Linked DNA regions of Macaca mulatta. The protein of the gene in region 1 purifies or fractionates together with the protein of each later gene. This does not show direct contact. Links are inferred from orthologs where the notes say so. Each region holds a gene or a part of one and is shown on either strand. Other genes may lie near its edges.

Region 1 (4,155 bases):
AACACAGGAACGGAGGCAGGAGAACTGCAGGAGAACTGTTTGAGCCCAGGAGCTCAAGGCTACAGTGAGCTCCGATGTCACCACCACACTCCAGCCTGGACAACAGGGTGAGACCCCTGTCTCAAAAGAATAAAAAACCCAATCATGTACTTAAGTAGCAAATTCCTATAACCAATTTAAATAACTGAAAATTCCTAGGCTAAGTGATATTTTAAAGTATTTATTTCTTTTTTTTAAAATTTATTTATTATTATACTTTATAAAGTATTTATTTCTGAGAGTGTCATTCTATAACTCATATACTTTAAATCCCCACCTACCTTTGCACGGACATTTTCAAATGATGCAGGACTCACAAGGGAAAAGCAAATTAAGAACACATCCTACAAAAAGGAAACACAGGGAAACATTTAGACAACGACCTTCGAACAAAGCCTGCACTTTGCTTTCTGGATGTTGCTGGGAAGGACTTGTCGGACGCAGAGCGTGTCTACTAGGTACCAGTGGCTTGGTCAGATGCTTCCTGATCCACCCTTTCAGTTTGTCAGAGGGCTCCCAAACCAAACCCAGCATGTCAAGCCACCAGTTACTTATGAAAATGGGGAGCGTGAAGGCAGAATGATGCCAGAAGCTCTTCAAGGATCAGGAGGATCAGACCAGACCCCCCAGGAGGCTTCCTTTCCGCCTATCTATCTAAACAAAAAATCAAGTATGAAGGTATGATTCCAATATTTCTGTAAAATCTGGTTTAGAGTACAAACATTTTTAGATGGTCACTGGTTCCAATTAAACTGCTTCTTCAGGAGCTGCCTGTCACAGCTCCCAGCACCAAGTGGGGGCTCCAATATTTGCTACTTGAGCCCTTCCCTCCGCAAGGAAGGAGGACTTAGTGTGTAAGTGGCACCTTCACAGCTGACGACCACCCTCACGCTGCCCTCGAGTCAGCACAGCCAGGGCCTCAGGAGAACTCGCTCCCGGGGCAGCTGTGGCTGAAGCAGAGGCGCGAAGGGTCGGTGCGGAGGACACAGTGGAGGGTGCTTCGGGGAACACGCCAGACATCTGCATGCTTCCTCCATTCTGTATTTTGTGTCAAACCAAATTCAAATATTTACCTGTATTTAAAAATGCCCAAGAACTTCTAAAATGCTACATTTCTAAAATATTCTCCTAGAAAAAGGCAATTATGCTACTTTATGAAATGCACACAATTCCCAAGCTACACTTTCAACCCTCCAGCTGATGCCTTGTACCTGAAAGGGAAAGAAACATCCCACACAACAGCTTTTTATCACTGGCGTTTGAAGAACGCTGGCGCATGCACAAGCTCGTCCAAGAGTCACCGCGGCACCCAGCACACCATCTCCAGCACGGTGGGGTTAGCTCAGCAGCACCGCACAGCCGCGCCCAGACAGCCCCACCACACGGGACACCGAAGCGGAGAAAGAAGGCCCCGGCAACAAGGTTAGTCCTGCTCCGGCTCGGCTCACAGCCAGGTGGGATTCCAAGAGGAGTCTCCGTATCTGCATCTCCAACCAGCCAGGAGAGGGGCCCTCTCACTCTCCCCCCTCCTTTCACTCCGGAGGGGAAGATGGCAGTTCACAAACTGCTTTAATTCAAGCCGGTGGGTAAACTATCACACTCTAATCAAGTTTATTTCATCAAGCAAAACCCCAACCTTGAGTGAATTAAATATAAAACACTCAAGGAGCTTGAGGCTTAATAAAAAAAATTCCTAAGAAAACGAAGTGAAATGAGAGAACAGAGAAAGCTTGAAACTGAAGTGGACTGAAAGTTTTACATACGGCAATCGGCTTGTCTTTGCCCCGGGAGGTTATATCCTTACCGTACGTTTCTCCAACCTAGTAATGCATGAGAACTTGGTTTGAGTTTAGTACAGACTGAGGAAAATAAAAATCAACATAACCTCTTATCGATTCTTTATTAGAATTTTGTCTTAACCCTCCAGAGGAATCCAAAAGCATATAATAATCTAACATCTTCGATGACAAATGCCACTGAAACACTCCACACTACCTGGTCAAAAGCGGGCGTAAGAAGTTCAACAATGGTGCACAGAGGTCAGGCAGATCCTGATGGGGGCAACAACGTGCTCCTCCTCCCACGGCAGCACCCACCAGAATCTACAACAGCCCGCACAGCCGGAGATGTTCTGCACCATCCCTTACCGCGAAGGCAGGCGGGAGCCACCGGCACTTTCCAGTGCTCCATCTGAGTTCTCAGACACAGCCTAGCTGAAGCCACAGCACACAAGAAAGGTACCCATCGGTAAATGATGCCTACCAGACAAAGGGCTCTCCCAGAACATAGCCAGGCCTCAGGGCTGACAGTTTTAATGCTACCAGAACATTCCAAGTCTCCTATGCAGAAATGTTCCTATCTTCCACCTAGTTCTGGGAGCCTGGTTTGAATGTACAGACTTGCATTATCAAAATCAACACTGTTGCTGACACCAAGGCCCCCAATTCTGGGCCGCTTTGCAGGTCTGGGGGAAGCCACCCCTTAAGCACAAGCTTTTTTTTTTTTTTTTTTTTTTGAGATGGAGTCTTGCTCTGTTGCCCAGGCTGGAGTGCAGTGGCACGATCTCAGCTCACTGTAATCTCTGCCTCCTGGATTCAAGCGATTTTCCTGCCTCGGTCTCCCAAGTAGTTGGAACTACAGGCGCCCACCACCATGCCCAGCTAATTTTTTGTATTTTCAGTAGAGACCATGTTTCACCATGTTGGCCAGGCTAGTCTCGAACTCCTACCCACCTTGGCTTCCCAAAGTGCTGGGATTATAGGCGTGAGCCACCACGTCCAGACATGGACAAATTTGAGAAGTGAACACTTCCAGTGTTTATCACAATGCTGTCAATTCATTTCTTTATTCCAATAAAAACTGACAAACTCGCTCTTCCAACATAGAACCCTGAAACTATTTTAAGAAAAGGGGCCGGGCGCGGTGGCTCAAGCCTGTAATCCCAGCACTTTGGGAGGCCGAGATGGGCGGATCACAAGGTCAGGAGATCAAGACCATCCTGGCTAACCTGGTGAAACCCCGTCTCTACTAAAAAAAAATACAAAACACTAGCCGGGCGAGGTGGCGGGCGCCTGTAGTCCCAGCTACTAGGGAGGCTGAGGCAGGAGAATGGCGTGAACCTGGGAGGCGGAGCTTGCAGTGAGCTGAGATCCGGCCACTGCACTCCAGCCTGGGCGACAGAGCAAGACTCCGTCTCAAAAAAAAAAAAAAGGGCTCACGCCTGTAATCCCAACACTTTGGGAAGCCAAGGCAGGTGGATCACGAGGTCAGGAGTTCAAGACCAGCCTTGTCAAGATGGTGAAACCCCGTGTCTACTAAAAATACAAAATTGGCGGGGGTGGTGGTGGACACCTGTAATCCCAGCTACTCGGGAGGCAGAGGTTGCGCCACTGCACTCCAGTCTGGGTGACAGAGTGAGACTGTCTCAAAAAAAAAAAAGGCGGGGGGCAAATGAGAAAACTTTTAATTTCATCTCACTCATGCTTTTCTTTTTTTTGAGACTTTTTGAGACGGAGTCTCACTGTGTCACCCAGGCTGGAGTGCAGTGGCACAATCTCGGCTCACTGCAAGCTCCGCCTCCCAGGTTCACACCATTATCCTGCCTCAGCCTCCCTGGTAGCTGGGACTACAGGCGCCCGCCACCTCGCCCGGCTAATTTTTTGTATTTTTAGTAGAGACGGGTTTCACCATGTTAGCCAGGATGGTCTCGATCTCCTGACCTTGTGATCCGCCCACCTCGGCCTCCCAAAGTGCTGGGATTAACAGGCATGAGCCACCGCGCCCGGCTGGTTTTTCTGTATTTTTAGTAGAGACGGGGTTTCACTGTGTTAGCCACGATGGTCTCGATCTCCTGACCTCGTGATCCGCCCACCTCAGCCTCCCAAAGTGCTGGGATTACAGGCGTGAGCCATCGCGCCAGGCCACTCAAGCTTTTCTGGATTTACCGTTCAAAGAGCATATTAGTTTCCACAGCTATCTGGGTTTCATCTATGGGCTATTTTTGAAGATCTGTCCTCCCAAGGACTTGATATGGTACCAAATCTTTAGCATGGGAGAGGATCATCGAGAACCAGTTACAAAAATGCAGCTTCAAAAGAGCCTCTGATCGTATCTGTG
Region 2 (4,155 bases), on another chromosome or scaffold:
ATGCAAACATCTGCTGTTGCCAATATCTTCATCATTCCTTTACTTTCAGTACAACACAGAGCAAAAAGCTGAGGATATCAGACAGAAAACAGCCAAGGCTGCAGCAAGGGGAATAAAGGTAGGCGTCAGGGAGAACTTCCTGAAGGATAAGGGAGCCCAGGAAGAAAGTGAAATGGGCGCCTCAAAGTAAGGCCATTTTACTGGCCTCAGGGCTGGGGAGCTTAGGTAGGCAGGGGCAGAGGCTGGTGTCACCCACCTCAGAAGCAGGCTACGGGTGTTGGAGTCATCAGTGTCTGCCTCCAGTCCTTCAAACTTGTTGGTCAGTGTCAGGGACACTTCTAGCTTGCTCAGGTCCGTGTGCCCATCTGCAGCAATGCTCTCCCCTGAGGTGTGGTGAGGAATGAGAGGGAGACAGGCATACACACGCACACACGCACGCACACACACACGCACCGATCGGGTCATGTTAAATCGGCTGCTCTACATGCCCCTCTTCCAAGAAGTTTTCCCACACTGGCCTGCAGAACCACCGTGTCCCCAACCCTTAGCACCGATGGAAGGGCTGTTACCCACAGAGCATGCCCTCGTGTTACTGGGGCTGTGCCACCCCCACACCCTCAGCCCTGGGTGCCCTGAGGGTAGAGGAGCCATGCCTCCCCCAGCCTGCAGCTCCTGGCTCTCTCTAATCACCATCTTCATTCTATCCTTCCTCCCAGTAAGTTGGCTTCCTCCTATTCCGTGGCCCAGAAATGCCTCCTTCTCAGAGAAACCTAATGAGACCCTTATCCCCGTGCCTCTCTCACATCATTTAATTGGCCATTTACCTGATGATCACGGGTCCCTCTACCGTCTGTCTACCTTCTCCACTTCAATCTGTGTCCCTGTGCCCATGTCAGGACTAGAGGGAGAGTATGGAACTAGCCGCCTGGCACAAGACCTAGACTGCATGGGCGCGCTCACATGGCCTGTCTGCCTGCCTGTCCCTCCCTCCCGGCAGGCCCCTTAGCTGGCCCCGGCTGCCAAGGAGGGCACACACCAATAAGGTCAGGGATGGTGGGCAGCTCCCCAAGGTCCTCCAAGAGCTCATGCAGGGGGTCTTGGTGATCAGAGGCAATGCAGTCCTGGTGCTCCAGCAACAGCTGCAGGACAGAGGAAGAAAAGGAAATGCAGGGTCTGAGCCAGGTCTTCTCCCTGGGGCCAGCCCACTACCCCATCACAGGCTACCAAACCCCTGCCCACCCAGTCAACACTCTCCAGATCTCAGCCCCTCACCCTGTGCGTGTTGACCAGCTCCCCCACGGTAATGTACACCACAGGTTTGGCCACAGCCACCATGTCTGAGTACTCGTCCACTGCAAAACGCTCCTCTGGCTCTGGCACCTGGCAGGCTCTATGGATGAACTTCCTATCCAAAGGGAGGGCGTGTGAGAGAGCGGGGAGGGCCAGCACCCCACACATCTTCTGTCCCCATCCTTTCCCCAGCCTTCTCCAGCGATTGCTCAGGCCAATTTGGACTCTCCAGTCTCAGCTTCTGCCCTCTGTCCTGTCCTACCTCCGTCCCAGTGACCCCTCAAGCCAATCTCTCTTAATAGTCTCCTTTTCTCTCCACTGAGGAGTCCTTCCAACAACCTATCCTCCACCCCACTCATTACGCTCTTCCCTTCTATTTATGCCTCTTGTCCTCATGGATTCTGGAGGGGAGAAGCGGGATGTCAAAGATGAGAAGAGGGAAGAAAGGGGACAGAGAGGAAAGGGACCCAAGACCTGAACTTGAGGTGTGTTTCCTCCAGATAGTCATTCAGGACCCGCAGGTGCTGGCTCTGCCCAGAGAAGGCCTTGCCAGCCGCAGCGTGCTGTAGGAGCTGAGCCACAGCCCCCAGGGCATGGCGCTGGGGGGCAGCCAGGGTGCCACCAGCTGCCATGGCCACAATGTCGAAGGCGTCAGGAGCCACCACAGCTGGGTTCAGGAAGCGGTAGTACAGGAGGTTCCCGACCACCTGAGGGCAGAGAAGACTCTCCCAGAAGTGTCCAGGGGCCACCTTGACTGGTGCAGCCCCACATTCCCAGCTTGCTTGGCTGGAAGGGATACCTGGGCCAACCCCCTCACTTCAAAGAAAACAGGCCCAGAGCAGGCAGGCAACTTTCTCAAGGCCACACAGCAAACCTGAGCAAGAGCTGGGACTTGAACCTAGATCTCCTGACAAGAAGCCAGTGTTGCCCACTCTGTTCGCTCATGCCCCAGCGTGAGCCAGGCTCCATTTACAAGGGGCAGCATATTTCCCTCCTTGGATTTTTATGGCATAGGATTTTTTGTGTTTTTGTTTCGGTCTGAGGATCGCAGGTACCAGCAAAGCAAAGGAGGGATTGGAAGGTGGGGGTGGGAAGATAACACTTGCCTTATAGACCTCGCTGTCTGTGGCGTCAGGGAATTTCTCTGCCAGAGTTGCCTTCAGGACTTTGGCCACATATCGCATCCCGTACCTGGGGACAAAGAAACAGGTGCACTGTGCCTGTGCCTCTGCCCATCTCTCTCTGCCAGATATAAGAGCTTGAGTGCATGGCTGTCTCTCCTCCCCCAGGCTCAGCCACTCCAGAGTGGAGCTCAAGCACTGTCCCTCCACTATACATAGCCACCTCCCTGCTGCCTTCCTCTGAACATCTCTGGGCCTTGTCTATCCCTCCTGCCTTGTGTCAGTAGTCAGGACCAGGGGCCTATTATCTACTAAATGTCTCACACAGCCTCCAACCTGGCTTGAGAACCTCTTCTTTGAGACTCTCTGGTCTCCCCTACAGAGCACTCCAGATCACCACAGTCATCCCCCATCCCCCAGAGGCACTGTTAACCTAAAGCTTGGGTATTTGACACTCACAGCCAAAACCCTGTCCTAGGACAGCCTAGGTGGCTCCGAGGTAGTCAACCTTGTCAGCTGTCACAGAGCACCTGTGAGTGGCCTAGTCTGGGCTAGAGGCAGGGTCCCAAGGAGATCAAGTAGCCAGGAGGAGAAGCTCCAGTTTGGACTCCACCACCAACCAGAGATATTATCTTAGGCTATTTCCTTCTCCTTTGTAAGTCTGTCCCCTGGTCTAGAAAATGGGAATGATCATTCTTGCCCTCTCTTCTCACAGGGTTTTTTGAGGATCAAGTGAAATTATGTCTGCGAGAGTAATGCATAATGGTAGAGTACTATTCAAATGTGCTAGACTTCATTATCATTATTATTCTTATTATGGATGTGCCACCTACAAATGTAATTAAATTCGTTTAAAAGCAATTTCCCCTCCTAGGGTACCAGAGACAGAAGTTTACAGCTCATTGTGTACTTTCCTTTCTTAAGCCTAGAACAATCTTTTCTTACTCCTAATTGTAAACTCTTTTTTTTTTTTTTTTTTTTTTTTTTGAGACGGAGTCTTGCTCTGTTGCCCAGGCTGGAGTGCAGTGGCCAGATCTCAGCTCACTGCAAGCTCCACCTCCCGGGTTCCCGCCATTCTCCGGCCTCAGCCTCCCGAGTAGCTGGGACCACAGGCGCCGCCACCTCGCCCGGCTAATTTTTTGTGTTTTTAGTAGAGACGGGGTTTCACCGTGTTAGCCAGGATGGTCTCGATCTCCTGACCTTGTGATCCGCCCGTCTCGGCCTCCCAAAGTGCTGGGATTACAGGCTTGAGCCACCGCGCCCGGCCAATTGTAAACTCTTAATCCAGTTCTCCAGGTTTGGGGAGCAGGGTTATGAACTCTATGGGTTCCCCCTTTCAGCATCCTCATCCTGCCCTGGGCACTCCAGCCTGGGCAACAGAGTGAGACCCTGTCTCAAAAATAATCAAAAATAAAGAAAAACAAACAAAAGAATGAAATCCTGCCATTTTCGACAACATAGATGAACCTAGAGGTTCGTGTTAAGTGACATAAGCCAAACACAGAAGGACGAATACTGCATGATCTCACTCATATGTGGAATCTAAAAAAGGTGATTTCACAGGAGTAGAGAGTAGAATGGTGGTTACCAGAGCCTGGGGAGGGCAGGAGAGGGGGAGAGAAGATGGGGAGAGGTTGGTCAATGGGTACAAAGTTATAGTCAGGCGGGAAGAATAAATTCTGGTGCTCTATTGCACAGGAGGTGACTATAGTTGATAATAATGTATTGTATATCTCAAAATAGC
Region 3 (3,824 bases), on another chromosome or scaffold:
TGCTTTTCTGTGCCGTGCGTCATATGCTTCTGGGCAGTTTCCAAAGGCCGGCGGAAAAGTAGGCGAGGCCCGCTTTTTATGGCAACTTGGCAGCCATAGAAAATTTTAAAATTGATGAAGGTTGCAATGCTCCAAATAACGTAAAATGCCTGCCAGGCTACAACATAAAGTGAGTTCAGTTCATCATGCTGGACTTGTGATTATCTGTAATATTCATTTACAATAAACAGGCATAACATTTTTCTCCATTCAGTTAGGATTTTCAGAACCTCATTGCCTTAATACTTTAAAATATGGCTTCAGTTTCTCAAACATGTTCATGGCTCTACTGGTAGTCTAGACCGATTGTTTTTCATTCTGACAGATTGTGTGGACCAGCTCCAGCCATGCGAACCCTGTGGATCAGGGGCAGCTGAAGGCTGGACTCAAGGCTCCTGGCCCCTTCGTGCAGCACTCACTGGGCCTGGCTGATCTCCTCCTCCCACACTGCTGGCCTCCGCCAGGTCACAGGCACAGGTAACAGAGAGGCACTGAGTAGCCTCTTCATATCCAGACTGGAGCAGCCACCACGGCCATTTTACACCTTATTTATCTGCAGAACCCTAAATATAAAACTAAACCTGTGCTGGTGAGGTGAGTGGTGTATGAGATGGTGTCACGGTCCCATCCCACCTCTGCCCTGGAGGTGACCTACATCCGAGCTGGCCTGCTATGTGAGTTCAGGGTAATCAGAGTTCCTTGCCAAGTCAGGCAGCACAGGATTATAGTAAGTAAACAAACGCAAATAGATCTCATTAGTTTTATTTCTATAACCTTTCGATCTGATCTCACGTTAGATTTTGTCACAACCGGATTTAGTGGAAGCAGAGGAATCAAGTTCACTATTTTCTGAAACACTGACACAAAAAAGGGATGGGAACAATGACTTAGAACTAAGACTGCTCATAAAAGGCCATCAGAAAGATCCCTAAACAAAAGCTAAATAGTTACAGTTAATGGTAACTGGCAAGGGATTTAATACATTTGCTGGTATTAAGTTTCTTATGGAATGAGTGAATGAACGAACACAGCAGCATTTTGAGAGAGAGCTGCCAGAACATCCCATAGAAAAACAATTTTGTAAGAACGTGATGGCAACAATCAGCAGCCAGTATTCTCAGAGTTCCTAATTACCAAAAGCATATACAATTTAGTCTAGAAAAATAATTTTATAAAATTAAGCTTTTAGATTGAAAAGCACCCCCTTTAACAGGTAGAGAGATACTGAAAAATAGTCCCTAAAAATCTCACTCAATAGTTGCCGGAGAGAAAGGCATGCCACGTTGAGTTACAGAGTGCAGCGCATGCCCTCAGCTGCTGGCGAGGGACTGGTGGATGGGCGGCTGGAAGCAGCGCACATGCTCCACTGGTGTGCCCTCCCCGTCGCCCGACTTCAGGTACTTATCCAGGATGGTGATGATCTCGTCATTGAGAATCTGGAACTTGCGAATTCTCTCCACCATCTTCTTCAAAGGCTACAACCATGAAAATTGAGATGTTTTACTATTAACACTTGAACATTCATTCTTCGTGTTTCAAAATGTCAGGATTCTTATATTTTCTCAGAAAAATAGTAGCAAATGGAATTGACACACATAGTGTTCTTTTTGTTTTTTTTTAAGATAGGGTCTCACTGTGACGTCCTGGCTGGAGTGCAGTGGCATGATCATGGCTTACTGTAGCCTCAGGAGATCCTCCCACCTCAGCCTCCTGAGCAGCTGGGACCACAGGCGTGGACCACCACACACAGCTAATTTTTAAAATTATTTTTGTAAGGACAAGGTCTTACTATGTTGTCCAGGATGGTCTTGAACTCCTGAGCTCAAGCAATCCTCCTCTGCCTCAGCCTCCCAAACTGTTGGGATTACAGGTATGAGCCAGCTCTCCCAGTCACATACCATCTCTTTAATGCAATGGTTGGATGGATGAATATATTTTGAATTTAGAATCCCTCTGTTGGCTTCTTGCTGCTGTAGATTCATTCATGTGCACAACTGATAGTCCTGTTCCTTCCACATCAGCAATTAAGAACCTACTGTGTGCTCAAAACTGGGGATGTCCAGATGAAGATGATGTGGTCAGTGGAGAAAGGTCAATCAACTAACACAGGCTTTAGACTTCCAGTCTGGAAATAATACTGTGATGGGGTACTCTGACAGACCCTCCTACTACAACAGGAATAAAGAACGTACGTACACACAAACAAAAAACTTTGAAAAGCATTTCTGGTTCTGCCTATGCAGGTGGTAAGGGGGAAGCCAGGGCCTCCTCGGGGGCACATGCCAACAGCAGCAGTGGGGTGAGGAGCGGCCCAGGCATAAGCAAGTGGGACCACACCAGAGACCCCAAAAAAGCCAGGAACCTCCAATTCGGCTAAAGTGGCCCTCAGTTGCCAGCAGCCCCTAGAGATGGGCAGATGCAAATGCACATCTTGGAGGGAAAGCAATCTAAATTAAGTCCAATTAAATAAAGACTCCCAAATAACCCAACACACAAGGAAACAGCAAAGTTTTAAATACCTCCAAGACCTTCAGATACTAGAAGGAAAACATGCAGAATATAGAATATATGAACTGGATAAAGAAATAAGAGATGGAAAAAATTCAGTTAAGACAAACTCAGTTACCAAGAAGATTTGAAGAAGAACCTAACTGAACTTTAAAAAGTGAACTAATAATTTTTTCAGAGTAAAAGCTCAGCACATTAGAGCTGAAGTAAACGAGTTAACTAAGACACGTGAAGAGAATACTCTGGATACAGCTCTGGGAGCCACGGAAATGTAGGAGTTGGAGGTAGAATGGCCCCTGAGAGAGGCCCATGACCTGGAGCCTGTGACTGCATTGCCTCCACCCACGTGGCCTGGGCAGGTGTGGCTAAGACTGTGGACTGTAGGACAGGACAGGGAGAGTCTCTGGGGTTGTCCAGTGGGCTCAATATAATCATGATCAGGGAATGTTCTCTGGCTGGAGGCAGGAGAGACCTGGCAGAAGACGAGAGGCTGAGACTGCCCAACCCACCATTGCCGGAGGGGGTCACTTGGAAAGCATGAGAAGGAAGGGGGACCCAGTCCTAGAGCTGCCAAGGAATAATTCAGCCAACTGTGCATAAGCCTGAAGGCCTCCAGGCTGAACACAGCACCTCGGACACTGGCTTCATGAGATTGAGCAGAGGACCCAGCTGGGCCTGGCTGAACCCAGGCATCTGACTTAGAGAACTGTGAGATAATCAGTGGTGTTTAAACTGCCAAGCCTGTGGTGATTTGTTTTTATGGAAGCAACAGAAAACTAATACAACAGGGCTGGGCGCAGTGGCTCACACCTGTAATCCCAGCACTTTGGGAGGTGGGTGGATCACTTCATGTCAGGAGTTTGAGATCAGCTTGGCCAACATGGTGAAACCCTGTCTCTACTAAAAATACAAAAATTAGCCGGGCATGGTGGTGGGCACCTGTAATCCCAGCTACTCAGGAGGTTGAGGCAGGAGAATTGCTTGAACCCAGGAGGTGGAGGTTGCAGTGAGCCGAGATCCTGCCATTGCACTCTAGCCTGGGCAACAAGAGTGAAACTCTGTCTCAAAAACAAAAACAAAAACAAAAAACACACAAAAAAAACTAATACAACAGAGGGATGTGGAGAATAGAATGAGAAGGTCTAACATATGTCTAACTGAAGTCGTGAATGGCAAGAACAGGGAGAATGGAAGGGAGGCTAAAATATTTCAAAAGATAATGGCTGAGTATTTTCCAGAATTCAACTATGAGGAATCCATAAAGCGACAAAGACAAA
Region 4 (4,155 bases), on another chromosome or scaffold:
CACAGTGCTCAAAACTGGAATTTTGGCATCATAGGTTTGTATGTTAACAAACAACACAGTATATCTTCCATCTCACTCAGCAAGTACAGTAAAATCTCATCAATTCAAATTCCAAAGTGTAAATTTGTGATAACTCAGAAAGAGACAATGCTGAAAGTTTACCTTTGAAGAAGGTTACTGAGCAAATGTGAGAGCATGAGTGAGATGACATGGAGATGTTTAAGTACTTAGGGAGGTAAACTATTTGTTTCTACTTAGCCCATTGTTAGTAGGAGAGTAACCATTGCTGATTGAAATAAGCCTTGCTTATCATTAAAATATTTTAGCAGGACTTCTGGTTAGAAATACTTTGCTGGCAGTTAGTTGGGGTACCTGAATACTGTCAAACAGAACTGCACACCTCTAAGTAAACCTTTTCATTAATTTGGATGGGCCTCATAATGAGAAATCAGAATGAGTGAGGTTTAACTGTACTTCAAAATCTACAAATATAGGCTGCCCAAAAGGCTGAGGGTGTGCTTGTTGCTTCTTCTAAATAAGTCTCCAGCAGGCAGGAGTTGATGAAAGACTCAATAATCTCTGGACAGAACACATGGACTACTTACGGAATGAGCACTGCATGATGACGATGAGGTTTTGGATAATGAACTGCAAGAAGCAGGTCCTCTGATCAGTCTGTTCAGCTGCTCTAACCATTCCTGGAAGTCCTGGTTGTTGTTGCAATGGACCACAATTCTCTCCACCACGTTACCTACATCCCCCAATTATGATCAATTTGAAAACAGAAGGCAAGGAAAAACTTGAGCTTCTCCCATTCATAAATACACTTCATGCAACTAGGACTTGGGTGTGTATTTTCAGGGGTTTTCATACCTATGGGATAACCCTGTTGAAATTTCTACAGCAGAAACAGATAACCTGTGATGATAAAGTAAATAAATATTCATGTCTGATTTAGAAAACTGTCCTTGATTTTTACTGCTTACAGAAGCTTAAAAGTAGTGTAAAACTTCACTATATACAAACTTGCAATCCAAAAACGTAAGTACATAGTCCATCTAGTTAAGTCTAAAGTGGGAATATTGTACTGGTTCCCCCAGTATCAATGTTGGAACAAGATCCAATTAAGACTATTTACAACCTTTTGGCAAATACTAAACCTTAGGCTCCTTCTTGGGAAAGAAGAGGGTAAGGCCATGATCCCAGTCTTAGCCACTGTGCCATATCAGCACCAACAGTGAAGCCACTACATATAAATGACACAGGCCTGGCAAAAGGGATCATAAGCTAAAATGTCAGGGAGAATTACTGAAGCCTGGCATTATGCTCAATTTGTGAAGAAAGTTTGATGTCTTTTCAGAACTTTTTAGAAATACAACCAAGTCTTACTAACTCATGGGCTGATGATAAAATTGCTGATAAAAGTCCATATCTTTGGCTCCTCTGCCACCAGGGAACAAATGACAGAAGGGAAGAAAATTGCATTTACATCAGTCCATTTTGTTATTCCTTAGCTCTCACAAGTAGCTCTTATGCAACAGAAGATTGAAACTAATGGCAAAGCCATGGCTTTTGAATGAGAGGAGACTTCTCTGTGCTATTGCTGTACCCTAATTATCCCAGGAAATGGAATATACTTTGCCATGCCTGCGTAAAATTTGCTCGTGGCCTATGTAACTGAAAATAATGGCATTTATTTATTAAATTCCCCTTCATTCCAAAAAGAATTGGAAGTAGTTACATGAAAAAGAGAAAATTACCTACCAGTGATTTCAAATGTGCAGTCATTCCCTTCAATTTCATCTAATCTAGTCACCACCGTTCCTGCTATTGGTATTTTTCCCTATTAGAAAAAGAACATTCTCATTAATTCTGCAGTCATACAGGTCTCTGTTTATTTCACTTAGATTTGCTGACCCTCTCAGCACTGCAAAATTATGGCTAGACGTATTTTTCCACTATGTCAAGAGCAGATAATATGATTCCCTGTTCTAAATTTTAATCAGACTAAGAAAGCAAGGGGAAAATGTGGATTGTGTTTGGCTAACACACCCTAAACTATAAGATCAGGATTTACAAAGCAGTTTCCTTTTCTAATATATTTTCATAAGAATCAGTAAAAAAAAGTGAAGGCTCAGATGTTATAAAAACTACTAATTGTCAGGCCAAGATGTAACAGGCAATAGTAACTTATAATGCTCTATATCTTGGGAGTTGACTGAGGGACGTTTAATTTCCTAAGGAATAACATGCTTCTTTAGAAGCCTGAATCATGTGCTGTGACTATAATAAGACAAACATAGGAGCAGGTCCCAGCTTTATGTTTTCTCAGCAATAATGACATGGGCCTGTACAATACTGCTGCTAATTTATCTAGTTTCCATTTATGCATGCAAAACCTAGTGCATAACTAAAGCGGTGGATATATTCAAGATAAACTCATTATACTAATACAAAGGTCTTTGATCTAAGGAACATCTGCTCTTACAAGCTCTTTAATTACAATGAAGGGTCAGAACATTCTGGTTCTCCTGGCTTGAGCTTTTAATGCCATAGTGGAGATACTGCATCTGGATGGAAACCTGTTTTCATTAGCGGGTCTGCTATGTGTTTTATGTGAAATCTACTAACCTGATAGATAAAGCCACTCATCCGAGGACTTGCAGATAACATTATCAGGACATTTGAAAATAACATAAGGTACCGCTCCTCTTTTTCCTGAGAGAGAATGAACAATAACACATGAAGAACAGAATTGGACATTTTATCTGTTGAAAATTTCTGGAATCACTGCCTTATAACATAGACCTTATATAAACAACTGAAACGTTAACAATAATTTTTTTAAAAGATACCCAACTTGAAAACATAAAACTAGTTGAATTTTACTTTGACATGGATATAAACCCACAGTTTATCACTCTTCTTCCTATACATAACAATTAAATACAAATAACCATGCTTGCTTTCCATGTATGAAAGCCTGAGGAGTCACCACAGTTTATGCAGCCAGTGAGATGTGCTAGACCTGGGCACAAAATAAGTCTCCAGGTTCACAAAATGAAAATATGTTTTACTTTGAAAAAATGGCAAAATGAAGGGGTTTTCAGGTGATAAGAAATTTAGTATGCTCTAACGTGTTAAAGTCATATTCATAAAATTAACTTTAGTCATTAAGAACAAGATAATTATTGGATTTATGTAAAATGTAAAAGTAGATACACTTTTTTTTTTTTTTTTTTTTGAGATGGAGTTTCGCTCTTTTTGCCCAGGTTGGAGTGCAATGGCACAATCTCGGCTCACTGCAACCTCCACCTCCCGGGTTCAAGCAATTCTCCTGCCTCAGCCTTCCAAGTAGCTGGGATTACAGGTATGTGCCATCACTCCTGGCTAATTTTGTATTTTAGTAGAGATGGGGTTTTTCCATGTTGGTCAGGGTGGTCTCAAACTCCCGACTTCAGGTGATCCACCCACCTTGGCCTCCCATACACTTTTTTAATGGCACTGAGGAAACCTCGACACATGAGGGCTGCTGTGAGCCCCTTCAACAGATATGCAATTAGTATACGCAAAAATTACATTTAGCTTCCATGCCCAGTCATCTTAGCTGAAATTATCCTTATGCCTGTCTCCATCTCCTTCCTTCCATTTGAGAAGAGCAACCCTTCCAGGCTAACTATTCTAACAAGTGCTCCACATTCTCTCACATCTTTGTCTCACTTAGTTTTCCTCTACAGACATCTCCTCTTCTTCTCCCAGCATCCTCTTCTGTTTTACTAGCTTTTCCTCTTTTTCTTTAACATATGTACACCTCCTATCCTAACAGACCTTGGCTTGCCCCCATGTGGCTCTTTATGCATAATATCCCATTTCTTGACATTTTATTGCCAAATTACTTGCTGCCTTCATTTTCTCTGCATTGATCCATCCCTAACTGCACCCTCCTTGCTCTTGCAAAGTCATCAATAACTGCCTTCTAGCAAAATCCAATGGCTTCCTCTTGGTCCTCACATTCCTTGCCCTCTGAACCTTCAGCAGCAGTCAGCACACTGGCCATTTTCAAATGCTCCTTGTGGAATTTCCATGACACCATGCTCCCCCAGTTCTTCTCTACCTTCCTCTTTGTCTTTTTATTTTTTCTGGCACTGATTCCTC
Region 5 (4,668 bases), on another chromosome or scaffold:
TCACCAGAGATATCTAAAGGACAGGCATCTTGAGGCCTTCACTCTCACCCCCAGGGCTGCCAAAGTGGAAAAGGCTGAGATAGAAGCCCATGGGGTGAGGAGAGGCCCTTGACTGAGACCATGTGGCAAGGTGGGCCAAGGCAAAGGAAAGGGGAAAATGCACATTCTCCAGGGCTCCCTGCCCCCTTCCTCTCTTGGACGCCCCAGGCAGGCAGGAATGCACACGGTGCCTGACGAGGTGGCACAAGCTGCCAGAGCAGCCACGCCATGTCCAGTTGCCTACCAACACACTCGCACTTGTCCCGGGTGCCCAGGCCCGGGAGCAGAGGGAGGATGGGGCTCTCTGGGGGCAGGCTGCATCTCACCTCTGACCTCCATGACTCCTCAAATTAACCAAGCACAAAAAGTCCCTGGCCCCACTCCTGTGGCTGGGACTGCAGGGCTCCTATCACAATAAAAGAAAGCTGTGACCCTGGGGTGGAGCGATACACCATGGGGCTGGCACTGGATCTGGACTCCAGACTGCTGGGTACCCTCATGCCTCTCTGCCTGAGATGCCACAGGACCCAGACCAAACACGTCGCTGCATGCCAGGGCCAGCATCCTAGGGTCCAGGTGTGGGATAGTCCCAAGCAGCCAGCCAGGGTCCCGACAAGAAGCCAGACACTCAGGGAGCGCCTGCCATGTGCTGGACACTTCGCTGGGTGCTAGGTGGGCTGATGTGTAAGACTGTCCATATCCTCCCCACCCCACCATCCTCACCTTCTCACCATCTTCCTGACCTCTATTGTGTATCAGGGGAAAAGAGTCATCTGGGGCACAAATTCCTCTGACGGATGAGGACCTAGGAGTAGGAGCTGGGCAATCCAACACATCTGATGCCCACCATTCCTCCCTGAGCCCACTGGGCATCCAGAGGCTTTGGATGACATTCAATGCAACAGAGAAAGGACAACTGCCTTGCTGCCTTGCTGGTGCTGCCCTTCACCCCTCCACCCCAGAATCAGATCACAGCCCCCCCAGAAACCATTTCTACTCCAATTTCTTTGCCTCCTAATTGAGGAAACTGAGGCCCCCACAGTGAGGAAAGTCTTTTTGGGGTTACAGAGTAAGCTGGGAACAAAGGCAACACTATGCCCCAGGCTTCCCCGATAGGGTGCCTGCTAAGCCTCTCCTCCACATGCATGCCATGCTCACCCCATGGAGGTGCGGAACAGTGGGCAGACATTTATAAGGCAAGGTGTGTCCTCAGCCCTGCCATCCCCAGACCTGCCTGCAGCTGGGGGAAGGGAGTCATAGTTTCTTAGGGGTATGGACCCTCAACCCCAGGGCCCTCTAAACCAAAAGCCCCAAGGAGGAGAGTATCTTGTGCCCAAGCCCTGCTGGGTCACAGTTCCCAAACCGTCTAGCTTGGCACCACCCCCAGAACCACCAGAGCATCTGTGAGGCTCAACCTGTGGGGTCCTGGGCTTGCTCAAGGGGTGGCTGAAAGTTATGGACCCACAAACCAGCACCCCATAATCTCACTCTTAATAATGCCCACAGCCCCGCTAGAGTTCACAGACCTCCGAAGCCTGCCCAGGGGCCTACTAGGGAGATAGCTCCTTTTCTAAAGAAAGAATGGATGGGGGCTAGAGCTTCCTTCCCAGGCCAGCTGCAGAGCCCAGTCACTGGCTGTCCTCCCCCATCAGAAGGGAGCAGACTCTTGGATCATTACCCCTGACTTCCTCAGCAGGCCTGGGGGGTTTCACTCCAGCCCAGTCCTGACTCTGTTAGGAAAAAGAAGAGAACCACCATGTAAATACAGCCAGGAGGCAGGCTAGGAAGCCAGCAGGATGCGGGGAATCTAGGCATTGCCTCCCACCCATTTCTCGCCAGACTGGGCTAGGGGACAGGGAGGGGCCGGGGCCCAGGATAGCTTGATGCCAAGCTCACTTTCCCAAGCGGGCCTTACGGTGAATAGGAACAGCAGGGTCCAGCCGAGCTGTTCCCAGTCACCACCAGCAGGCCTGGTGATGCCTCCCGATAAGACACCCGGGTCTGAACTGGCCCTGAACGCCAGGCCCCGCAAAAAAGCGCTAGCCTTAGGAACCCGCGGCAGGGAGTCCTGGGAGTAGCCACTGCTCATCTGCTCCTGAGGAGACGGTATCCAGGCCCCGCTGGCGCATCTGCCCGGCCCTCTGCTCCTTGCCCTCCACCACCCCGGCAGGCGTGCCGACCACGCGAGCAGCAGGTGCAAGACGCGGGGGTGGCACTGAGATGACACAAAACCACACTCGCCCCCACCTCCCAAGCCCTGCCGGCCTCCGCCACTGCCCTCCTGCCACCCCAGGCTGGCGCTTCCGTCGGATAGAGATGGAGGTGGAGGGGCAGCCAGCTGCCCGCCTCCCTCAGACCGAGGGGCGGGAGGCAGCGCCGGGAACGTCCTTCCTCGCTCGTCCACCGCCTCCAGGGAGCATGGGCCCCCCAGGACAGCCCTCCCGCCAAGGACGCGGCTCCGCAGTGGCCGGGGCGGGGGCCGAGCCCGGAGGCCGCAGCCCCCCGCCCCGCCCAGCCCAGCCCAGCCCAGCCCTCCGGCCCCGCACGGCGCTCTCGCCAGGCCCCGGCGCCCGCCCGGCGGCGGCCTGGCTGTGCGGTCCCGCCCCCGGCCCCGCCGCGCTTACCCGGGGCGCTGCAGTCCGCACACACCTCCGCTCGCGGCCCCTTTCGGGACATCCTCAGCGGCGACGCGGCCGCAGCCCTCTGGGCCAGCGTGGGGGGCGCGGGCGGCGGGCCCGGGCGGCGGCGGCGGCCCCTGCTGCCCGGCCCGGCTCCGGCGAGGCCCCGGCGAGGCTCCGCGCGCCCGGCCAACCGTCCGCCCCGGGGCTGGCCCGGAACCCGCCGTGCCCGCCTGCCCGCTCGCCCTCGGGCGCCCTCCGCCCCACGCCGCCCCGCCGCCGCTCGCGACTCCTCTCTCCGCCCCCTGCGCGGCTCCGGGCCGCTCCTGCAGGAAGCGGCGCAGGCCCTGCCCACCAGGGGAGGGGCCGCACCCCCGCCCCGCCGCGCGCTCCCGGCCGCGCCCCCTGGAGAAAGGAAGCCCGGGCGCGGGCGGGAGGGGGCGGGGGCGCTTAAAGGGGCCGCGGCTAATGCCCGGCCCCGGCGGGCAGCGGGGCCTGCGGTCCTGGCCTCCGCTGCGGCGCTCGCCTGGCCCGGAGGCAATGTGAGTCACCCTCACAGCCCCCTCCCCTTCACTTTCCGCGTGGGGTGGCCCGGGGGACGCTGGGCCCAGGGATGGCGAGGGCGGGGATTAGGCAGGAAGGACTTGGAGGCCCAAGTCCCGCTCCAGGTCAAAGGGGCTGTGCCTTGGGGTACCCTTCTATCTCTGGTTGGGGTGAGGTGTGCCTCCCGGTCCTGTAGGTGTCCACATCTGTGTGTCCAGGTGTGTGTGCGTGTGTCACACTCTTGCTGAATACGCTCATTGCCAACAATATGGACGCCCAGGTGCTAGAAAGGTCAGGCAGTGTATTCCCCTGCCTCTGGACTAAAAATATATCTATCTCTCCATGCATGCTTCCATCCAGAGAGGAATCTGGGCGGTTTTTAAAGACCTCCCAAGGAGTGACCACTGTGCCTGTGTGCACTCAAATCCACTTGTCATCCGCCTTATACACACGGTGTTTCTGGGCCACCAGAGGTGTGTGCGTCCAGAAAGGGTGCATATAACACAGAGGGGCCGTTTCAGGTGACAGCCTTTCTTCCTGGACTTCACACGAAGAGGCAGGCAAAGGCAAGGCAGGTGAGGGACGTGGGTGGGCTGGGGGGCAGGGAGCCTAGTTGGAGGCCTCACATGAGCACAGCCCCCGCACTGAGCATGCTCCCCCATACACGTGTGCCGCGCGTGCACCCAACCCCCAATCCCTGCAGCAGCAAAAGGCCCGGGCACTCTGCTTGTGGGGAGAGGGCAGAGGTCCCCAGGGCCAGACCTGGGGGCCAGGTCAGTGGTGACAATTGAGGAGGGGTTATCGAAGTCAGAGACTCCTGCTCGGTAACAGATGGGGGCAGTCCTTTGGCAGGGGTGCTCAAGTTGGTCGATTTATCCCAGCGGTGCCAGAGCGGCAGTGACTTGTGGGTGGGCAGGCTCCTTCCCTAGGGGAGACAAGTAATTCTCATGAGTCACACCACCCGAAATACATGCAAAGCTGCCTCCATCGCCTTTTGCTGCGGCCCGGATTGACAAGTTTGTTTGAAATCGCGATCCATGGGCTTTATTTATAATTGCACCTTAAAAAAATCTTTCAGGCCTCCCCTCCCCAGACAGCCAGCCGCTCAGCTGGTGGGGCTTTTGCAAGCAACGATACCTAGCTGCTATGTAGGGAGGAGTACTACCTGCCGCCCCGAGCTGCTCTCTCACCAAAGAATCCATGGGCTTTGGTGGCCCCAGTGGGAAGGGGGTAAGGGGCGGGGGGAGTGAGACGGAAGGAGTGGCCAGGCAGCCGGTGCCGGGCGCTCAGTCGACGAGCGGTGGCCTCCCGTTCACCCCCGGTGGACCCCCAGCCATGGAATTTCATTTATTAAATGTCGAGGAGGCTGCTGGCAGCCCTGCCGCTTGGCTGTCTTTGTTTCTCCGCTGTGTGGGCGCGTCTCGAGCACGTGGCAGCTGAGCGCGCAGGCGAAGCGCAAGCGACCTGG
Region 6 (4,155 bases), on another chromosome or scaffold:
GAATAGGAAGCCTGTCCCCAGTGGGAGGTTCAGATGCCCTGCCTCCTGGTGCTGGAAGGCTCAAGCTGACACTGGGCCAGATGCTGAGAAGTGCCACCAATGTTCTGTGCTCTGACCCTGCTGAGTTCCTGCGGATTTGCTGAGGGTGCTACGGACAACCGTGGGGAAGCAGCCCTTGTGGTGCTGCCCCTAGCCCTGCTGTTTGCAAGGATCCTAGAAGGATGCTTGGGCCACCACAGGCAGGGACAGAAAATGCACTGTGCTGGCTCTGTGCCTGTCACGTGTGTGCTTGTGTCTTTGGACTTTTCACACAAGTCAGCTGTGATCAATCCTGCCACTTGGCACAACTTCTCTGAGGCCTCCAATTTAGCATCTTAAAACGGAGCTTAAATTAAAATGTATGAAAGACTTGCATAGTGTCTGGCACTAAGTAATATTCAAAAATGCTTCTGTTCATTCCACTACCCAGCTACGATGTTTTGAGACTTGAGAAATCTACCTGGGGCTTGAGAGAAGGAGACTTCAGCCAACCTCTGGGGTGGTGGGCATCCCAACTTCCGAGAATAGCAGACAGAGCACGCTGTGTGGTCAGGACCCCCTCAATCTGCTGGAGGCTGAGCGTCTGGGTGCTTCGGGCCAGCCTCCAGCCAGTGCCCCCCGAGGCCTGACATCTCGGCCACCCTCACGGGAATTCTCCAGCCCCACTGCAGCCACAGGCCACAGAGCAGCGCTGGCCTGCTGGACGTCAAGTCATGGCTGGGGGGTTTGCCTTCCACCTCTAGATAGCCAGGTAGCATGTGACTGCTTTCTGAGTGGCATGAAGTATAGATAAAACCAACTTTCTGGGTTTTAAGTTATAAACAAGCAGTGCAGTACGTCTAACCCTCTAATCATAGCCCGCTGGCTGCCCAGGACTGAGACAAGCAAACACCCATCCATTTCCCGGGAGGGCAGCTCCAATCCTGACTTCGCCTTTGAAACTGACAGCCCACGAGAACCCCTTCTTTATTTTTGTTTCCAACTACAGCTAGCACTTTCAGAATCAAGTTCGCTATGGAAGTGGGCTGTGCCTCATCTTTGCACTCACACTCTGATACAGCTTGTCTCCTCCAAATCTCATGTTGAAATGTTGGGGGTGCGGCCAGTGGGAGGTGTCTGGGTCATGGGAGCTGACCTCTCATGAAGGGCTTGGTGCTGTCCTTGCAGTAATAGGGGTAATGAGTGGGTTCTCATTCTATCAGTTCACGTGAGACCTAGTTATTTAAAAAAGCCTGGAACACGACCCCCTGCCCATACTCTCTTTCTCACCATGTGACATGTCTGCTCCCCTCCCCTGCCTTCAGCCAAGAATAAAAGCCTCCTGAGGCCTCACCAGAAGCCAAGCAGATGCTAGTGCCATGCTCATACAGTCTGCAGAACCATGAGCCAGATCAACCTCTTTTCTTCATAAATGATGCAGGCTCAGTTATTCCTTGACAGTAACACAAAACAGATGAACACAGACTCCCAATGTGGTGTACTTCTGGGAGGATCAGCTCTCAGGCCCAGCCCCAGGATGAGAGCCGGCTCCTCGGTTTCACCACCCTCACACGCTCACAACTGTGGAACGAACGAGACTCACTAGGACCTGTTTTTAAGGTCAGTTCAGCAACACGGGCCACGTGAAGTCCCTGTAAGTCCTTGTGAAAGACGGCCAGGAGACGGAAAGGTGGAGCAGATGAGACAGAGCAGGTACCCCAGGAGCAGGTGCAGCTGCTGGGGCCTGGTGGGAAGAGGTCTTTGGATTCTAGTTCCGCTGATTTTCACACTTGGGCTATAACTAGCTTAGAGTTCCAGTCAACAAGGGGCGAGGAGAAGGCAGTATCTGACACGCAGGACTGTTTCCTGACAACAAAAGGACTCCTGCTCATCTTCTGGGATGTTAGGACATGTGTAGGAAACAAGTCCAACAGAGCCAGCGCGGCAGAGCCTAGCAGCAGAGCGGCCCTGCCCCAGGCCCTGCGGAAGCTGCACGAATGCTAAGCCCAGCTCTGCGGCTCGGCTGTCCTATTGCCTTGGGACATTCCAGGTTAGGGAAGGAGGACCCCAGGTTTTTGAGTTGCTAATTTATAACAAGTGCAGTCAGAGCCCACTGTCAGCCCTGTTGGCTACAGGTGGGGCAAAGGTAGGTCCCTGAAGCTACCACAGAGCGAGGGAAGATACCCTGTCAGGTTACCGTTTCCGAAAGGATCACAGCCTCCGACTGCTGCACGGAAATGTCGGTGGGTTTAAATTCTTTCTCAAATATCTCTTGATGTTTGCTGTTCCTTTTTTCCTTCTTCTTGTCCTTCTTCTCCTTCTCCAGGTCATCCTTGTCCAGCTTGTCCTGGGACCTGGAGTGCATTTTCTTTGGCAGGAGAGGCTCCAGAGCAAACCTAAAGGAAAGGTCAATGATGTCTTAATAGGAGAGCAATTGCTTTCCACCCCACAGACACGTGTAAAGTCACTCACAATCCATCGAAGACATTTACAAGGAAAGCAATGATTTAAAAGGGAGGCCAAGGGCGACTTCAGATACACAGTCACCAGATGCAAGGACTGTGTTTCAATCCCAACACGGACAACTGTGAAAAAGATAGAACACTTAGCACGATAGGGCAAATGTGAAGTCTGACCGGATATTTGATGATGACATTAAGGAATTGTTCATTTACGATGGGAGGATGGTATTTAGGGTATATTTCAAAAGGGGAACCCTTGTCTTTTAGAGATTTATATAGAAATATTCTGTGTATTTTTTAATGGGGAAAAATGGACATCAATGCAAAGAAACATCTGCTACCTTAATCCTGACCAAGGCTCTATGATTACAGATAGACGGTTGTTTCCAGGTGAAAGCACTTTGCATGGCTCGGTCAGAAGCAAGCCAGGGCCAGCTCACAGGTGCTTGGAGATGCCCTGAGGTTTCCAGCTGGCAACTGAGCTGGAGACAGAAGACCTGCATTCTAGCTCTGCCACTTGTGGGTGACTCTTGATGTCCTCACAACCTCTGGCAGCTGTTTCACTTATAAAAGGGTATGAAGACACCACCACCCTTCTGCCTACCCCACAGTTGCTGTAAAAACACATTCGTGGTTACGCCATGGAGTAAATGAATCTTAGGCTAGTTTCTAAGGCATGTACCAAAAGGTTAGTGTGCACGCACATCCACACACGATTGTGATTTGTCACTCCAACACAAGATTGGCATGTCCATCCTGTTTCTGGTCCTAGAAGTCTTATCAGGAGGTGGAAGAAACTGATCCAATTCTAAGACTGGAGTCTCATCCCTAGAAGCTCCTGCTGTGAAGAGGAGTCAGGAGAGGCGGTTGAACGGATGAAGGCATGGGCCGGCCTGAAAAACCATATAGCATAACTCACATGGAAGGCAGGGCTGTTACTAGGATCTTACATTTTCAAAATATAACCTGCTCTTTGGAGCTCTGAGTCCTCACAGCAACTTCCAAACCTGACTTCCTTGACTGCCTGGAGAAGAAATTGGCTTTTTCAAGGGGAGCATGATTTCAAGAGAAGAAAATTTAGCCAGCCAGTCATATTTTCATCCTAGCTCTAGTTTCTCTTACATGTATTTCTGCATGGGACACTTGGAAGAAAGCCACTGTTCTCATTAAGAAGGCCATTGCAGGGCCGGATGCGGTGGCTCATGCCTGTAATCCCAGCACTTGGGGAGGCTGAGGCGGGTGGATCATTTGAGCTCAGGAGTTCGAGACCAGCCTGACCAACATGACGAGATCCTGTCTCTACAAAACATACAAAAGTTAGCCAGCCATGGGGGTGTGCACCTATAGCCCCACCTAATCAGGAGGCTGAGGTGGTAGGATGGCTTGAGCCTGGGAGGCAGAAATTGCAGTGAACCGAGATTGTGCCATCGCAGAGCCTGAGTCACAGAGTCAGATCCTGTCTCAAAAAAAAAAAAAAAAAAAAAAAAAAGACAGCCATTGCAACAATCTTGCTCCCCATTGATGTGCTCACTGGAAGGCCACTGCAACAATCTTGCTCCCCATTGATGTGCTCACTGGACGGCCATTGCAACAATCTTACTCCCCACTGATGTGCTCACTGTTGATTTCCAGGTTGTGTGTCCCATAGTGGGGAGTCAACTGAACCAGGAAGGGA
Region 7 (4,894 bases), on another chromosome or scaffold:
AAGTAGTCCTCATATGTGCCTTGGTCCCGGTTCTTGGCCACTGCCTGGAGCATGGGCAGGAAAGTTTCAAAGTCCACACGCCGGGACTTCAGCTCTGGAGGTTGGAGAGAGATGAAGGAGAGGTCACTGTAGTATCACATAGGACCCGGCTCCCAACCCTACCACAATGCTTTCATCCTGTTCAGCATTTAGGATATTTTCCTGCTTCTGTGTTTGACAGTTTTTGAAGTCCTGAGATCCACCTCATTCTTTGTTACCAACATTCAACTTTTGAAAACTAAAAACCCAAATTGTTCCAAGGGTCCCCTCACCATCACTCTTGGGGTTCCCCAGGACCTTGAGCACCTCGGCGTTGGTGGGGTTCTGGCCCAGGGCCCTCATCACGTCCCCACACTGGCTGTACAGGATCTTGCCATCCCCTACTCGGTCAAACAGCTCGAAGGCCTCCTTGAACTCTAAGGTATAAGGAAGGGTCAGTGTAGACACTGACTAGGGGTTCCCATCACCCCCAGACAGAAGGGAATTTCAGAAACTATGTGAACAGAACAAGGGAGGAAAAGAGGACTAGTATGGGAGGTTTCAAGGTCGGGACTGGGGTTAGGGGAATAGAAAGAGAATCTGACCAGGGGATTGGGGACTGGACAGTGGGCTTAGACCAGCTTCTCCTCACCCTCCAGCTGGTCCTTGTTAAACTCGATCTGTGGAAGAAAAAAGCAGGTGGGGAGAGATGACAGTTTATTCAGTCCCTCTCCAGCACTCTTCCCAACCAACTGGCAGCCACTTCTGAGGAGGGGCCCAAAGGGACCAGGCTGGAAGCCCAGCCACCTCAGTCCCATTCCCAGCTCTGGGCCTTGGGAGAATCCCAAGAAGAGGAATTACAGTGGGGAGGGTTTCCTGGGAACAGGGTTAATCCCATGCCACCTGTTTCCCTCCCTCCATTGCCCTGAGCCCTGCATCCCTCACATAACTGGGGGCTGAACAAAGGCTAAATTTACCCCTGGCCCCCAGCTGTGATTGTCTAACAAGTCTGTCCTCTTCAGCCTCCCTTCCTGGAGTTCAGAGCTGCAGGCCTTTTGAGTTGAATCACCAGCCAGGGGCAGGCAACAGCTCTTTTCCCTTCACCTTGAAACTGTCCTCAGAACCCAGATGTTCCCCATCTAAGAGTCCCTGCCTCCAGCAGGGGGTAAGTGAGTGTGCATGTGCTGTACACACATGGTTATAGGTTAGAGGGAGAGAACAGCAAAGACAACAGCAGAGTCATAAGCCTGGATGCTTCCAAATGGGGGACTAAGGGAAAGCCCCAATCTCATTCCAGGGTTCATTGATTCCCTACCTTCTAGATACCCCCTAATCCCCTAAGCTGTATCTCACCCTCAAACCACCCCCTCCAATTATCTTCACTTTCCAGAGACTCACCACCACTTTGGAGAGATCGATTGGAGGCTCCTGGGTTTTCTGAGGGGCCTGGGGGACAGCTGGCTCAGCTTTGCTCTTGGCTGGAGGAGCCCCTGCTGCTGCTGCTGGCTTAGCAGCAGGTTTGGAGATGGAGGGCCCTGCTGGTTTCTTCACGGGAACATCCTTCTTGGGAGGCATGATGTCCGGTGGCCAAAGGACAGTGTGCGGATGGGGGCACCCATCTCTGTTTAAATAGCCAGGGAGTCTGGGATGTCAAGGGGCGGGGGCAGGGGCAGGGAGCCAGTTGGCTGTGGCGAGGATGAGGTAGAGGAGAGATATAACCGTCTGCCCTCACTCCCCTGGCCTCCTATGGTTCAGGACTCCTGCCCCAAGGTCTTCTTCCCTCTGTCCCCTCATCCCCAAAGGCTGTCCAGAAAAGAACAATGTTTCCTTTGAGGGTAGGGGAGGAAGCCAGGGACTGCCCAGAATGAGAGGTAGTTAACCTCCAGGGTGAGGATAGGATGCTTGCACTGAGATGGGGGTGGTGAGGCAAAGCAGGTGATCCAGCAGCTTTAGTCTTCTCGAAGGGTGGGGTGAGGGGTAGCAGTCAGGGAGGCTTGTGTGAACTGGAACAAGTTAAAGTGTGGTCTGGGAGCAATGACAAAAACAAGCAGCCCATCTGCCCAGCCCCTCCACTCCTTTCTGACCATGGCTTTGTAAAGAGCAGGGGTAGTTAACCCTACAGTCTAATAATCCCTAATACTTGTAGTTCCTGAGCCCGCACCCAGCCAAGAATTGAAACTATTCACAGTATAAAGGAAGAATAGTCATAGAAACAGGAGTGTGACATCCCTCATTGTCTCCTAGTGCGCAGTGTTGTTTTAGGGGAAGGAGTGGGGGCAAAGATCAGGTTTAACATCTGCTACCCATTCTTCCATGGAAGGAACCTTCTTCCACAAGACCACTGTCATTCAACACAAACAAAAGGTAGGGCGCTTGCTGAACCTGTGGGGACCCTGTGGTGGCACCCGAGAAGGGCGGGCTCTGGGAGAAGGCTTAAATTCCCTAATCCAAGAGGATGTGGGCACTCCTATGGCCTCCATGAGTATTCATCCCACTACCAGGGGTATAATAAAAATCCCGACTCAGGGGCCAGGTCACAAACCTTGCCGGGGGCACTGGGAGAGAGTCCAAGTTGGGGGGTGTTTGGGAGTGGGGAGGGGTTGCGGCCTACTTTTGTTCTGGGGGAAATTAGGAAAGGATTTAGGTAGCATTCTGAGGAAGATAGCAGTGACTCCACTTAGGCCCCGGGGTTGATGCTGGGTCTCCCATTCGCAAAACAGTGTCTGAATCTCATTACTGCAAACTGTCCCATTTTTACAAAATACATCACACACAGACACACACACACACACACACACACACACTCTCACACACCCCACTAAACCTTAAAGAAAGCGGCTCTCCTCAGCCCCCCAAAACTCACCCTGCGGGGTCCGCGTCTGTGGCTGGGGAGGGGGCGGTGCACAGCGCGGCCCCCCAGCCCTGAAGGGTTAATTCCGACGGCCGCGGAGCATGCCGGGAGTCGTAGTCCCCAGTGGGCTCACGGGATACGCCGCGCTCTAGATTGCAGCTGAGGCTAGGGCGGTGGCTTCCGGCCCATGGCGGCGTTTGGTGACTCAGTGTCCTTCCATGTCCCGGAACTGAAAGGCAATGAACAATTTCCAATCCACCCCAACCCTAAAACCCTGCAGGGTCCCTAGGGTATCCCTCCTACTTAGCCCTGGCGGGCTCCTAGTCTCGGGAGGCGGTGGGGGGGGGGGCGGTGGGGAGCGGGGCAGGTGTTTTCCTGGACCTACTGCTGAAAGAACTCCGAACCAGGGGAAAGGTTGAGGCTGCAGCAGGCAGCGTGGAGGTCAGATAGCTGGAAGCACTTACGGCCCCAGGGAGAGCGGCTGCGCTCTTTTTCGCTTCCTCTTGGGTTTGGTGGGAAAAAAAGAGGCCTCAGAGTAGTTTGTTTTTAATGAACTGGTTGCTGAAGTAAATGTTAAAATTTGCAATTAAGCCCAGTCACCTGCCCCAGCCTTCTGATCGAGGTTTCCATCCTGCGGCCGCATATGCGCTATCCTCCCCGGTCTTCATAGGTTCCTGAGCGGAGGGCTGGGCTTTCCAGACCTACTTTCTGAGACACTTATGGTCAGCATTGGAGTTTACTGGTTCCCCTAGGCGTTGATCAGAGGATGGGAACCAGCCCGGCCGGGCCCACCTTCATTCACTGGATCAGTAAATACACTGGCGGTGCACCTGGTGTTGGAGGCTGGGGCTGCACTGGCGTGTGAGGATTCGGTCAGAGCAGAAAACTCGGGCGAGGGCAGGGTGGTGAGGCACAGGTGAACTTTATGGGCAGTAAGTAAGGTTCACTGGTTCGGGAAAGTTTATTGGAAAGGTAGAAATGAATTGTACGACAGAAATAACGATGATAGTAAGTTAGCAACCATTTCTGGAGGCCACCATAGATCTGCTACCGATGAAGGGGTTAAATTATCTCAGAGGGTGCTCAAGTGCATGGGGTTCAGACGAGCCTGCTCATATTTGAATCCTGGTTCTACCAGGTGCTGGTTAGTGGCCCTCAGCAGGTTTAGTTGTCTCTCCTGGGCCTCAGTTCCTCATCTGTAAAATAATGATAATGGTACCTGCCTCATAGGGCTCTTAGGAGGATTCGAAGTGTTATTATTGGTAAAATAGGGCCGGGCTTGGTGGCTCACGCCTGTAGTCCCAGCACTTTGGGAGGTGAGGCAGGCTGGTCACCTGAGGTCAGGAGTTCGAGACCAGCCTGGCCAACATGGTGAAACCCTGTCACTACTAAAAATACAAAAAAACCAAAAAAATAGCCGGGCGAGGTGGCAGGCGCCTGTCACCTCAGCTACTTGGGAGGCTGAGGTAGGAGAATCACTTAAACCCGGGAGGTTGCAGTGAGCCGAGATTCCGCCACTGCACTCCAGCCTGGGTGACAGAGTGAGACTCCATCTCAAAAAAAAAAAAAAAAAAAAAAAAAAAAAACCACAAAGTTTGTAAATTAGAATAGGCCTGGCACAGCGTAAGTGCTGTATAAGTGTTTGTTAAATAACTTTCCTTTAATCTTCCCAAGGCATGAGGTCGCTGATATTTTACCCATTTTTACATCAATGAAGTGAGGACCAATAGGTGTTGTGAAGAGACGGAGAGGAAGAAGGAATACATTTTTAAGTGGTTATGAGACTGGGAAAGGGCCACATTATGGATGCCATTGTGTGGCTTCTATCACTCTTGCAGACATTGGTTTCAAAGATATGGCCCTTGTAATTTTTTTTTCTTTCCTTTTCCCACTTTTGGCATTTTGCCAAGTATGAGTGGTTATGGCATCAGCTGACTTTCTAGCATTTTCTTTTCTTTTTTTCTTTTTTTTTTTTTTGAGGCGGAGTCTTACTGTGGCCCAGGCTGGAGTGCAGTGGTGTGATCT

The links.
Region 2: the proteins of RAC1 (region 1) and IQGAP3 purify together in Homo sapiens (affinity purification with mass spectrometry; 3 studies listed by BioGRID and IntAct, with this or other methods). This does not show direct contact. The link is inferred for Macaca mulatta from reciprocal best matches to the Homo sapiens genes RAC1 and IQGAP3.
Region 3: the proteins of RAC1 (region 1) and CYFIP1 purify together in Homo sapiens (pull-down; 3 studies listed by BioGRID and IntAct, with this or other methods). This does not show direct contact. The link is inferred for Macaca mulatta from reciprocal best matches to the Homo sapiens genes RAC1 and CYFIP1.
Region 4: the proteins of RAC1 (region 1) and ARHGEF6 purify together in Homo sapiens (affinity purification with mass spectrometry; 3 studies listed by BioGRID, with this or other methods). This does not show direct contact. The link is inferred for Macaca mulatta from reciprocal best matches to the Homo sapiens genes RAC1 and ARHGEF6.
Region 5: the proteins of RAC1 (region 1) and GIT1 purify together in Homo sapiens (affinity purification with mass spectrometry; 3 studies listed by BioGRID). This does not show direct contact. The link is inferred for Macaca mulatta from reciprocal best matches to the Homo sapiens genes RAC1 and GIT1.
Region 6: the proteins of RAC1 (region 1) and DOCK1 purify together in Homo sapiens (pull-down; 6 studies listed by BioGRID and IntAct, with this or other methods). This does not show direct contact. The link is inferred for Macaca mulatta from reciprocal best matches to the Homo sapiens genes RAC1 and DOCK1.
Region 7: the proteins of RAC1 (region 1) and MYL6B purify together in Homo sapiens (affinity purification with mass spectrometry; 3 studies listed by BioGRID and IntAct, with this or other methods). This does not show direct contact. The link is inferred for Macaca mulatta from reciprocal best matches to the Homo sapiens genes RAC1 and MYL6B.

What each region holds. Positions count from the first base shown.
Region 1 is NC_133408.1:44,612,238-44,616,392, forward strand, and holds part of RAC1 (ras-related C3 botulinum toxin substrate 1), read right to left. Parts: intron 1,860-4,155; coding exon 1,803-1,859; intron 384-1,802; coding exon 321-383; intron 1-320. UniProt on the Homo sapiens protein: Plasma membrane-associated small GTPase which cycles between active GTP-bound and inactive GDP-bound states.
Region 2 is NC_133406.1:110,388,698-110,392,852, reverse strand, and holds part of IQGAP3 (ras GTPase-activating-like protein IQGAP3), read right to left. Parts: intron 2,482-4,155; coding exon 2,397-2,481; intron 1,998-2,396; coding exon 1,765-1,997; intron 1,406-1,764; coding exon 1,273-1,405; intron 1,140-1,272; coding exon 1,037-1,139; intron 384-1,036; coding exon 257-383; intron 1-256.
Region 3 is NC_133412.1:1,499,848-1,503,671, reverse strand, and holds the end of CYFIP1 (cytoplasmic FMR1-interacting protein 1), read right to left. Parts: intron 1,515-3,824; coding exon 1,350-1,514; 3' UTR 786-1,349; downstream 1-785. UniProt on the Homo sapiens protein: Component of the CYFIP1-EIF4E-FMR1 complex which binds to the mRNA cap and mediates translational repression. In the CYFIP1-EIF4E-FMR1 complex this subunit is an adapter between EIF4E and FMR1.
Region 4 is NC_133426.1:143,016,234-143,020,388, forward strand, and holds part of ARHGEF6 (rho guanine nucleotide exchange factor 6), read right to left. Parts: intron 2,719-4,155; coding exon 2,632-2,718; intron 1,844-2,631; coding exon 1,765-1,843; intron 752-1,764; coding exon 606-751; intron 1-605. UniProt on the Homo sapiens protein: Acts as a RAC1 guanine nucleotide exchange factor (GEF).
Region 5 is NC_133421.1:38,328,419-38,333,086, forward strand, and holds the start of GIT1 (ARF GTPase-activating protein GIT1), read right to left. Parts: upstream 2,995-4,668; 5' UTR 2,948-2,994; exon of another isoform or gene 2,795-2,947; 5' UTR 2,716-2,794; coding exon 2,664-2,715; intron 1-2,663. UniProt on the Homo sapiens protein: GTPase-activating protein for ADP ribosylation factor family members, including ARF1.
Region 6 is NC_133414.1:139,490,279-139,494,433, reverse strand, and holds part of DOCK1 (dedicator of cytokinesis protein 1), read right to left. Parts: intron 2,415-4,155; coding exon 2,216-2,414; intron 1-2,215. UniProt on the Homo sapiens protein: Involved in cytoskeletal rearrangements required for phagocytosis of apoptotic cells and cell motility. Along with DOCK1, mediates CRK/CRKL regulation of epithelial and endothelial cell spreading and migration on type IV collagen.
Region 7 is NC_133416.1:63,303,342-63,308,235, reverse strand, and holds the start of MYL6B (myosin light chain 6B), read right to left. Parts: upstream 2,927-4,894; 5' UTR 2,882-2,926; intron 1,661-2,881; 5' UTR 1,594-1,660; coding exon 1,417-1,593; intron 699-1,416; coding exon 671-698; intron 456-670; coding exon 312-455; intron 95-311; coding exon 1-94. UniProt on the Homo sapiens protein: Regulatory light chain of myosin. Does not bind calcium.